3 linked regions of the Neurospora crassa OR74A genome follow. The protein of the gene in region 1 binds, or shares a complex with, the protein of each later gene. Links are inferred from orthologs where the notes say so. Each region holds a gene or a part of one and is shown on either strand. Other genes may lie near its edges.

Region 1 (2,675 bases):
GATTGGAACACTGTAACAAACACTCATTTTTTACGTCATGGCATCCGATCCCATGTCAGTAAACAGTTCAGCAAGGGAGCCACCTGCGCCTCCGGGATCAGGGGCAGACGAGCCCAAGTATGGAGGATATACACGGTTCGAACTCGAACTGGAGGTAGGCTTCATACACATTATCATCCAGCGTGCGTGGTATTAACAGAACACTCAGTTTGTTCAAGCACTTGGCAACCCGCTGTACCTGAACCATCTTGCGTCCAGGAAGCTACTCAGCAATCCTGCTTTCATCGCCTACCTCGACTATCTCCAGTACTGGAGCCGCCCACCTTACCTCAAGTATATCACCTACCCTGGGCCTACCTTGAAGAACCTGGAGTTGCTGCAGCAGGAAAAGTTCAGGCAGGACATCATCAGCCCAGACCTGGTCGAGCGTCTCAGGCTAGAGGGCATGAAGGCCGGAATCGACTGGCATCGAGAGAGTTTTCCAAGCACGGCATAAGTTGCACGGGTAGAATGATGCCAGGGATGGAAACGAGTGGGAAGTAGCCTCTGGCAGGCCAGTACCGCACAAGTTGATTCTGATGAAGAATACCTCACATGCAACTACACAAAAACAAAAGAAAAACCCAACGCCAAGCAATGCCCCCAATACCATGTATTGATGATCCGACCAGACCTGTGCTGAACATGTCTTCTTCCTCTAGTTGTTGTCTCTCCACCTGTGCCCGCAAGTCATACACTACGAGACATGTTAGCTTCTTACTTTATCCCATCAGTCTGCAATCCCCTTCTTACCTTGTAGAACGTCGTCATCGGTTCATCAGCACTACGAATTTGAACCTGGAAGAAGGCTGCCTCGTTGCCATTGCAAGTTCCGCTGTCACACTGGACCTTGCCTTTTTGTGCATTGTCCCAAGCGCCTGGACCACCAAACACGTCTTCCTTCTCCTTGCGCGGGAAGTTCTTGCGGGAGTAGATGGGCTTGTCGATGGGGTGTTCGTAAGGACAGGTTCTGCACTCGAGCCTGTTGCCACCCGTGTCCGCTCGGGAGAGGATGAGGAGGTTGGCGCAGAATGGGCAAACTGTGGTGGGCGTTTAGTTCCGGTGTCCTAGCCTTTGTGGGTGGACTTGGACTTACAGACGATAGGCATGTTTGCTATTGATGAAGGGACTGGATTTGTTTGTTGTGTGTTATCGTCCGTTATGAATAGCAAGTGAGATGAGTCGAGCGGTTGCCAAAAGTCTTGTTGACGATCCTGATGAGAAGAGGCGTCGCCGTAAGCTGGTACCTTTTGTGAAAACAGCTGGCCAAGACCGGTGTTTATGTCTACCACTTGCTGGGCTTTAAGGTAGTGATATAAGTTGTTAGAGTGTAAATAGTCAGTGTAGGGGCGATGGCCTGAAAAAAAGTGTTATAGCTCGATGCGGTCCGTTAATTCTATAAACCTTAAATGTAGCGCTTGAATTTTCATTGGTCAGATCTGCATCATCAACTGTCCCACACTTGGTCAGCGGTGCCTGGACCCAACGGCCCTTTCTGTTGTGCCTGTGCTAAGGTAGGTACGTACCTACTCACTGACATGCAGCTGGGCCTCAGCGCATGCCATCTGAATGCCAGCGTCCTGATCGGGCCCCGCAAGGAGCCGACCATTCTGTAACACCAAGGGAAGACGACACTGCCACTGCCACCTCCTAACCAGCCCGTTAGGTAGAGGTACGGAATGCTTCCATCCCGTCCTTCATACAACCACCACCACCACCACGACTGGAGATATCTCATAGAATACAGTACACTGTACCCTACAAACAGTCGTTCGCCGCCCTCTTATTACCCCGAAGATCCCTCATTGAGCGTTACGCGATCCCGATCCTTTTATAGGAATCGACCGATTACCTGATTCGACAGCCTGGCCACTTCCATACCGTACATCCACTCTCCCCCGCCGACCCATTTCCACGATTCCCGCTCGTAATTAGCAATTCCAGGCCAATCTTACCTCTCTACTTTGGACAACTCTCGCCGTCATCCCTCTTCGCTTTCACCGTCGTTTTCGCTACTTGTGCTTCTTCCTACAACCAAGAAACATCACCCGCCGTTTCCGAGACAACCACAAGTGACCTACCAGTAACCATGGCCGGAAAGGACGAAGAACACGAGGTTCGTACCACACAAGCGTCCTCTACCCCCAACTAACACCCTCTCTCTTCTATCCCCCGTTTCACCCGCCCTACGCCCTCTCGCGCAAACAGCTATACTACAGACAACCCCAGCTAACCCTTCCTTCTTTCACCCCCCAAAATACAGGGTGCCTCCATCTCCGAGCAGCTCATTGAAGCTTGCCGGCGTAACAACACTGACCTCCTCTCGGAAATTCTCGCCGACAAATCCGACGAAGAAATCTCCTCCCTCTTGAACAACACGACCACCGTGATGGGCAACCACCTCTACCACGAAGCCGCGCTCCGTGGCAACTACGAGATAATCGACATGCTCCTCGACCAACCAGGCTTTGAATGCGATCCCGTCAACCGACTCGAGGGCGACACCCCGCTGCACAGCGCAGTCCGATGGATCAACAGCGAGCCGGAAGCGCAGCGCGAGTTCGGCAACGAGCTGGTGGACATGATGCTGGAGGCCGGGTCGAACCCGCGCGTGAAAAACAAAGGCGGCTTGACGG
Region 2 (3,556 bases), about 5.3 Mb from region 1:
GCAAAAGGAGGACTGCCCCGTGTGCGGCATGACGGCAAGGGTGCTCAAGGTCAACCCCAAGTGGACACTCGAAGAGCTCATAGAGTCGTTTGCTACCCTTCCTGAGGCGCAACTGAAGAAGCCGTCGGTGCGGGCTGAGGGCAAGACGCTGTACATGCAGTTGCCCCCGAACTTGGAGGAGCAGACGCGGCCAAACTTGGAGAAGACACTTGAGCAGCTTGGGCTGACGGAAGGTACTGAGCTCGCCGTTACTGATCCAGCGTTTGTAGGCGTGGTGTTCAACTTCAGCCTCAAGTTTGCATGATGGTCCCCAGACATGAACGTGTCATGATGGCCTGGCCTGGTTTGCCTGGACTTTGTTCATGCTATTTAGGGACTAGATTTGTAAATTACCTACGAGCGGGAGCGTTGCACAACAAGCAGCGGGGAATGACCCGCAAGATGGCTATAGCGATGAGTTAACTTCCTTTGCAATTAATTAGATGTGAATACAAGATATGATTAACAATGTGCTTCAACAATATGCTACGCAGTACGTAACCAAAAGACATCATGTCAAATGAGGGGTACTGTGTTTATGCAAGACAGTGTGGTTCATGACTCATGTGCACCGACATGTCTATGATAATTAACAAGCAGAAACCATTAAACTAAAGCTGGCCACCAATCCCTAGCCTCCATGACGCCGTTCCAATGTTCTTTTATATGGTTACAAGAGAGATGGGTATCCTCACGACCTAATCCGTGTGATTTTTCCTCTTTCCCTGTGTGATTCCACATCATGATCGCTCAAATTCTGTCTCAACCACCGTACATAGAAATAACCTCACCTCTTCTTCGTGCTATTTTGAATCCTCCTACCCCTGGTACAATGTTTACTGTACCATGTTCACCACCTGCTTCTCGAACCTCTTCGCCTTCTCCTTGAGGTGGGCAATCGATTCGAGGAAGATGGCGTCGCTTTCCCACTGCCCCGTGCTCTCCACCAGGTAAATGAAGTGATCCCTCCTTCGGCCCAGCTTGACCTTGTCCTTGAACTCGTCATGGCGCAAGCACTCTCTGCTGACGGTGTCACGCATGGCGTCCAGGACCACGGCCTTGAGCTCGCCCTCATGGCCCTCGTATCCGCTGCCCTTCTTCTTCGCCTCCTCCTTGGTGACCTTTTCCAGCCCGATGACGCCCTCGGGGAAGCACTTCTGGAATTTCTCGGCGTCGCGGCCTAGGATCGGCTCGAGAATGGTGATGGTCGGCATGAGGCGGTACGAGGCCGTGGCGACGGGGGAGAACTTGGCGTGATCGGACCCGACGCCCTTGTGCATGTGCATCGTCAGATCGATCTCCTGTCCCGGCCGCATCTTGGCGACGAGGATGTCAGGGTTCGTGGGCCGGATGGCGTTCTCGCCCGAGAAGTACTTGGCTTGCCGGCCCTTGGGCACGAACTTGATGTCCTTAGCGTAAACATGGGCGTTGTGGTAGAGCTCCTTGGGGTCCTTGCTGTCTGCCGGCGCGCTCTCGTTGTTCTCGCACTTGACCTTGAGCTCGAGCTCGACCGTGTTGTAGTCGCACGGGGTCTCGCCCTTCTTGTACCACTTGAGGAAGTTATGGAGGCCTTCCTTGCCGCCGGTGAACGGGATCAGGCCCAGGCGGTGGCCAAGAACTTCGTCCTGGATCACGGAGGTGTTGTTCCACATGAAAATGTCCTCAATGGCCAGCGTGGGGATGTCGGCAATCATGATACGGCGGAAGGCATTGGCGATAGAGGCGTCGACGCCAATGAGCGAGAATTGAGCCTCATAAGGGTCGTTCTGGTGGAACACTACGCGGACACTTTCGCGGAACTTTTCGATATCCCAGGAATGATCCTCGCCGGGGTAGAAGCCGGGAAAGTCGGTGGATGTGACATTGGTGACAGTTTCGGCGTTGATATGGACAGTCTGCAGAAGAAAAATGCCATCAGTTTCCGCGTTGCATGCGCTGCGCAGCCTCGACTGATGATGATGGGCGGCAAGCCAGTGATTGACGTACGTTACGCTTCTCAACCTCTTCTGGGCTCGGGACCTTTGTCCTGACGGGCACGGCGGTCTGCTTCTTTGAGGATCCCATTGCGACGATATGTGTAAATAATGCTCTAGGTTGGCGGGGTTACCCTCTCGCTTTCACACGCAGGTCGGCACGCCGGGCAAAATCTTGGGAAAGAGAGCTCTGCGCTGTGCGACGGGCGATGGAGCGGCAGAATTTTTCCCACGAACGGGAACTTTTTGACCGCCTTCGCGGGAATGCGGTTGATTGGTTGGCTGAGATCTTATCGTGCTGCAGGCAGTGGCGGAGAGGTTCAGGGACTGCCTGGCTCAACTTGATGCTCATGGGCCTCGGCGGAGACAATTGTGGACAGGACCGCAATGACTGGGACAAGGCCAACAGGGTACATGGCGGGCCATAACCTCTGTCAGGTTACCGTCGACTTCGACCATCGACGAAACCTGAGGCGAAGAGAGAACGCTAGATCTTCACTTGCAAAGGGCTGCGCAGGTATGATGGGAGATACTTCAACTACCTAGATATACTTGCATGTCGGGAGTATCAATTCCAAATCCACAATTTTGTAGCTTCGGCGAGGGAAAGACATCGGGGCTTCATATTCCATGTCCACATCGAGGTTTGTCGCGAGTAAGTGACATGTTGACTAACTCCACTCTTAACTCCAGCACATCTTGGAATCTCTGTGGTCATTGTTATAAGTGTGGACATGCTCTTCCATCCTCCTCTTCCTTTCTGCGAAAACCTCTCCCTAAAATGCCCAAATTCCGACTTACACTGCCTCGAGACTGCCTGGCGAAGGACCGAGGCTTCTACAACCAGCCAATCAGATGGCATATAGCGCGGCTGCCCTCCATGGGACCGCTTGGCGGCACGGCTGCCGGATAAACGCCTTGGCCGGCAACAGTCGAGACGGGAGCTTGCCCGCCGTGGGGGGAACGTTGTACCAGAAGAAGCTTGGTCTCTGACTGCTCAACTGATGGCCTTTGATTGGGTTGAAATTCACTGACCAACTGACGGCAACGATTTGAGGAGTTCGAAGCTGGGGCGTTGCTGCGGCCGTGGTCAGGGAAAGTCGACTGGACGTCAACTGAAGCATCTCCACCACCACCTTATTACTGCTATCACTAGAAATCGCAAGCTCACTGCGAGCCATTGAACCGCCGGAGAAGAGGCCACATCCAGCGGCGAACCTCCTCCCCTTTGTCCTCCGTCGCTGTCAATCCTGCGAATCTATCCATCTCCGTTCCCTGACCTTCTGAGCGACCCAAAGCAAGCGGCAGTCCCACAAACAACAATGGCGACGACGTTGTTCCGACTCGCTGGGCGCAATGCCAAGCGCCATTGTATGCGCCAGAGCACCACCATCGCTCACAACCTCAACTCGACTCGCGCCTTTTCTGCCTCCGCTCTCAGACGGTATGCCGAGCCCAGCTACGAGGGCCAAGGAACCCGTCTGGTCCCTACCGGCGACGACTTTGCGCCCAACAACGATCTGTATGGCTTGGAGGCTTTGAAG
Region 3 (4,013 bases), on another chromosome or scaffold:
TGCGGTAGTTGGTTGATGCGTCACGGTAATCGTCTGACCCACGATCGCCAGCGATTCCAGTAGAGATCTGGTCCAACGGGGTCTCCTTCTTGATCATCGTTTGTCCGGATTCAACCTTTGAGCCCACCTGGGCCAGGCCATCGGCGTCGAGGATGGCGTGCTTAACAATGGGCTTGTCGTCTTCGTCCTTCATGATACCGCCAACCCTGTCGCGGCGCCCATTCGTATAGCCTTGCAATTCGGCGGTATACTTGCGGAACACTTGGCAGCGGCCGAATCCACGATCTAGAGAAGCCTTGTTCAGAACAAGCGCATCTTCGATATCGTAGCCAGAGTAAGACATGACAACGACGGTGGCGTTCTGTCCTGCCGGGAGCTTGTCGTAGTGGATAAGTTGAATCGTCTTCGTAATGACCATTGGTCGTTGGGGATAAACAAGGGTATAAAGAAGGGTATCGATTCTGTTGAACTGATTGTAGGCAATAGCACCAATGGCTTGTTTACCCATGGCGCACTGGTAAGTATTACGGGGAGACTGGTTGTGATGGGGAAAGGGAATTAGACCAGCGACTGCTCCGAGAATCGTGAACGGCTCAATTTCCATGTGCGTAGTGCTGTTGGTGATCTGATCCTCCTGAAGCGCCACAAGGGTATCGTTCTCTTCGTTGACATCGAGATACTCAACCACGCCGCTGGTCAGGAAAGTGTCGAATGTCGCTTGCCCGAGTTGAAGCATCTTCAGGTGCTCTGCCTTCAACATGGATTTGCCGTTCTTGACGATGATGTACGGGCGGCAAATACGTCCTTCATCGGTAGCGATATGAACCGCCGAGAAGTGCTCGTTGATGTGGATGCTCACAAAAGGAGAGACCCAGCCCCGGCGACGCAAAGTTCTGAACCTGGCGGCAAACCGCTTTGGCTCCCTGGTCACAGCAAATGGTGTACCGTTCAAATGGATGATATACGAGCCTTTGCTGTGCATCTCTGTTCCGGTGTATTCTCGGATCGGTCCCACGCTCTCATCAGCAGCAAAAATCATCTTCTTAACTGGTTCCTCCGGCACATTCGTGGTAATGTGTGTCATGAGTGCCAAATTCTTTACCAGACCACAGGCTTCACCTTCAGGTGTATCAGAGGTGCAGAGCATACCCCACTGTGAGGGCTGTAGGGCTCTTGGACCGGAAACCTTTCTTGTTTTTTCGAACTGTGAGCTGATACGCGTCATCATACCCAGCGCAGCGATATAACTGAGTCGGCTGAGCACGTGGGTGATACCGGCTCTGTTCATGTTGAAACGCTTGACCGTCCAGTTGCCGCTCTGAATGGCGCGGTTAAGACCGTGAGAGATATAATGGCCGTTAGCCATGATCGCACCATGGGGATCATACGTAGAGGTACGGTTGGGTTTCTTGAAAAAGTTGTCAATGTTGTACTTGACGTCTGAAATGAACTTTTTGAACAAGTCTTCAAATAGAAGGGAGATCAACTGTCCAGCCAATTCCAATCTCTTGTTGCCGACGAAATCTCTGTCATCGACGAGCTTGGGATTCTGAGCTGCCATCAGCACGCGGCGAACCATCATGGCAATGTAGACGGCCTTGGGATAGAAGTCGAGACCCTCAACAGTAACGTGCGCGATAACTAAGTTCGCAAGTGCGTCGAGACCTTCTTCAGCATGGTTTCTTCGAGGAGCGGCACCGAATTTGGGTCTGTTACCGCCCATCTTGACTCTAGCACCAACGTATTCCAACGCTTGTTGTTGTGTGTAGACACCAGCTCTTCCGGCTTCATCGAAGTTGATGAGGAAATCGTCCTGGTAGCGCGCATCGCCACCGCAAACCAGCTCGATGATGTCGTTGTCGGAAAGACCACCGAAGGCCTTGAGAACGATGACGATGGGAATGGGCTCGGAGAGGGTGTTGTGCTGCAGGACAATCCGGTCCTTCTTGAGTACGACGTAAGTCTTTGACTTTCTCTCGTGTGTGGAACTGGTAACCGAGGCCATGACTCCGCCGGTCTTCTCGTCGGCCTCGACAATGATACGGTTCTTGCTAAGCTGTTCCTGAATCAAGATGACCTTTTCGGTTCCGCCAATAACGAAGTAGCCACCAGGATCGAGAGGGCACTCGTTGAAGACCTCCATCTGGGCATTGGTGGCGCCGTTGAGGTAGCACTTTGCGCTCTTGAGCATGACGGGAATGCGGCATAGCGGGATGTTCTTGCGGACGATAACGTTCTTGTCGCGGGTGTAGGCGATGTCGACCTCGACGGGGGCGGCATAGGTGAGGTCGCGGAGACGGCACTCCATGGGGGTGACGGGGTTTCGAGACTGGACTTGTTCGCCATCTTCGGTGCGGGTGGGCATGCCGACGCGGATGTCTCTGAACTCGAGCCAAAAGTTGGGGTCCTGGTCGCTGCGGACGACGCGGTTGGCCCTAACGATGTCCTTGATTTCCTCGTTGACGAAGTAGTTGTACGAGTCGATGTGTTGCTTGACGAGGCCCTTGACCTTGAGGAAGGCCGGGACAAGATGGAACTTGTCCTGCGTGGTCGAGATGGGATCGGTCAGCTTCTTGCCATTGTAGAACGGCTCCAGCAGGGCCTCAAAGCCATCGTCGAGAGCCGCCATCCTTGCATGTGCTAACTGCGGGTGACGGTTCGTCGTATCGATCGGGCCGGAGGAATGGAGGATGGCGATGATGGGCGCGGAACGACCGGGAATGTGTGTTTGGTTGAGAAGATACGCCTTGCAGTTGTGTAGGTAGATTTCGATGTGATTTTTGGCCCCGCGGCAAATTGATAAGGATTAGTTGCGATAAACTTTTTCTACGGGCTGGCCGCTGCCATTTCTTGTTAGGTCAGTAGAGGTAAGCCGCGGCTGGGGCGGTGGGGGACGACGGGGCGGGAGTGGTCTGTGCTTGACTGTTAGTGTGTGTAGTGCACTACACTAGAGGTAGTGTTGTGGTGCGGTGACCGGTGACTGCTAGTGACTGCAGTGGTACCTAACTGGTATGCCGAGGCCAAAATTGTTAGCGCCCACGTTTTGGACCCCTGATTGACAGTTACATATACCTATGTAGGTTCCTTGTTCCACTTTTGGCCGTGCCCTCCACCTGTCGGGTACCTTTGAAACCTTTCCTTTTGCTTTGACTCCGGACCGTCACTTTGATGTTCGTGATAAGGAACCCCCGCCTCTGTGCAACTCCGACACATCTGCCTCCTGGTGGTAGGTTGTATTTACCTATCCAACTTCAACTAGCACAGCGATTTGAACAATTTGTAGCGGGGTCAGGCCAGCTAGGTAACCTCAAGATAGCTATGTATCCGTTCTGCTGAATCTAGCCGCGCCAAGCGGAAGCCGGGCCTTCGATCGACACACCAGTCAACAGGGGAGAGCTTCTGGTTATGAAATCACCTGCCGGGTCGTTCACTATTTCTCTCCTACCTGTTATCATGTTGATGGTCTTCTTCGGTCTTTGTTCGTTGATATGGCAGCCTTTGAATTGCTAATCGCATACAACGGAGGTTGATGTTATTCCCAAGTGCTGTGACCTGCTCAGGCTTCAAGAATCAGAGAAGGGTTATGCTTCTGGCTGACTATACAAACGTCAAAGAGTCGCATCACCGTTGGCCGTGTCTTACAGCATAGTGTAGGTAGGTACCCATCTTTTCCTAGGCCAGCTCCAGCAGGGTGCTACCTTGCTTGAATCGACCTGGAACCCAACCCAGCAGTGGGGCAAGATCCGAAAGAGGAGCAATTGAAAAAAAAAGGCGAGGAGATTTCACATCAAGGTTAAACACGGGGGCGCTGCACTTGTGCGTTCGCTTTCTCTACCATGGTCTCAATGAGCATTCAAGACATTCCATATCTCAGCGTCTACCATAGCTATCACCTGGCTATCGTACATTTGAGTGCTCAGAATGTAAATCGATCTTCTCTCTTGTACTGAATCTTCCACAGGGCAGAAGTGAGGGTTAGAGTGTCCAGCCTTGAACATTGACGGCTGTCTGCC

Evidence for each region.
Region 2: NCU00570 (region 1) and NCU02533 share a complex: the UniProt entries of both Saccharomyces cerevisiae proteins name them as parts of the RNA polymerase III (Pol III) complex. The link is inferred for Neurospora crassa OR74A from reciprocal best matches to the Saccharomyces cerevisiae genes RPC11 and RPC40.
Region 3: NCU00570 (region 1) and NCU01772 share a complex: the UniProt entries of both Saccharomyces cerevisiae proteins name them as parts of the RNA polymerase III (Pol III) complex. The link is inferred for Neurospora crassa OR74A from reciprocal best matches to the Saccharomyces cerevisiae genes RPC11 and RET1.

What each region holds. Positions count from the first base shown.
Region 1 is NC_026501.1:7,970,123-7,972,797, reverse strand, and holds NCU00570 (DNA-directed RNA polymerase III polypeptide), read right to left. Parts: upstream 1,388-2,675; 5' UTR 1,149-1,387; coding exon 1,136-1,148; intron 1,080-1,135; coding exon 793-1,079; exon of another isoform or gene 737-792; coding exon 698-736; 3' UTR 517-697; downstream 1-516. Other genes in the region: NCU00569 (SOH1 family protein), read left to right, coding at 38-154, 209-496; NCU00571 (hypothetical protein), read left to right, coding at 2,129-2,155, 2,303-2,675. UniProt on the Saccharomyces cerevisiae protein: DNA-dependent RNA polymerase catalyzes the transcription of DNA into RNA using the four ribonucleoside triphosphates as substrates. Component of RNA polymerase III which synthesizes small RNAs, such as 5S rRNA and tRNAs.
Region 2 is NC_026501.1:2,645,825-2,649,380, forward strand, and holds NCU02533 (DNA-directed RNA polymerase I and III polypeptide), read right to left. Parts: upstream 2,213-3,556; 5' UTR 2,104-2,212; coding exon 2,026-2,103; intron 1,935-2,025; coding exon 876-1,934; 3' UTR 516-875; downstream 1-515. Other genes in the region: NCU02532 (NEDD8-activating enzyme E1 catalytic subunit), read left to right, coding at 1-304; nuo49 (NADH:ubiquinone oxidoreductase 49kD subunit), read left to right, coding at 3,335-3,556. UniProt on the Saccharomyces cerevisiae protein: DNA-dependent RNA polymerases catalyze the transcription of DNA into RNA using the four ribonucleoside triphosphates as substrates.
Region 3 is NC_026502.1:2,490,077-2,494,089, reverse strand, and holds the start of NCU01772 (DNA-directed RNA polymerase III polypeptide), read right to left. Parts: upstream 2,816-4,013; 5' UTR 2,630-2,815; coding exon 1-2,629. UniProt on the Saccharomyces cerevisiae protein: DNA-dependent RNA polymerase catalyzes the transcription of DNA into RNA using the four ribonucleoside triphosphates as substrates. Second largest core component of RNA polymerase III which synthesizes small RNAs, such as 5S rRNA and tRNAs.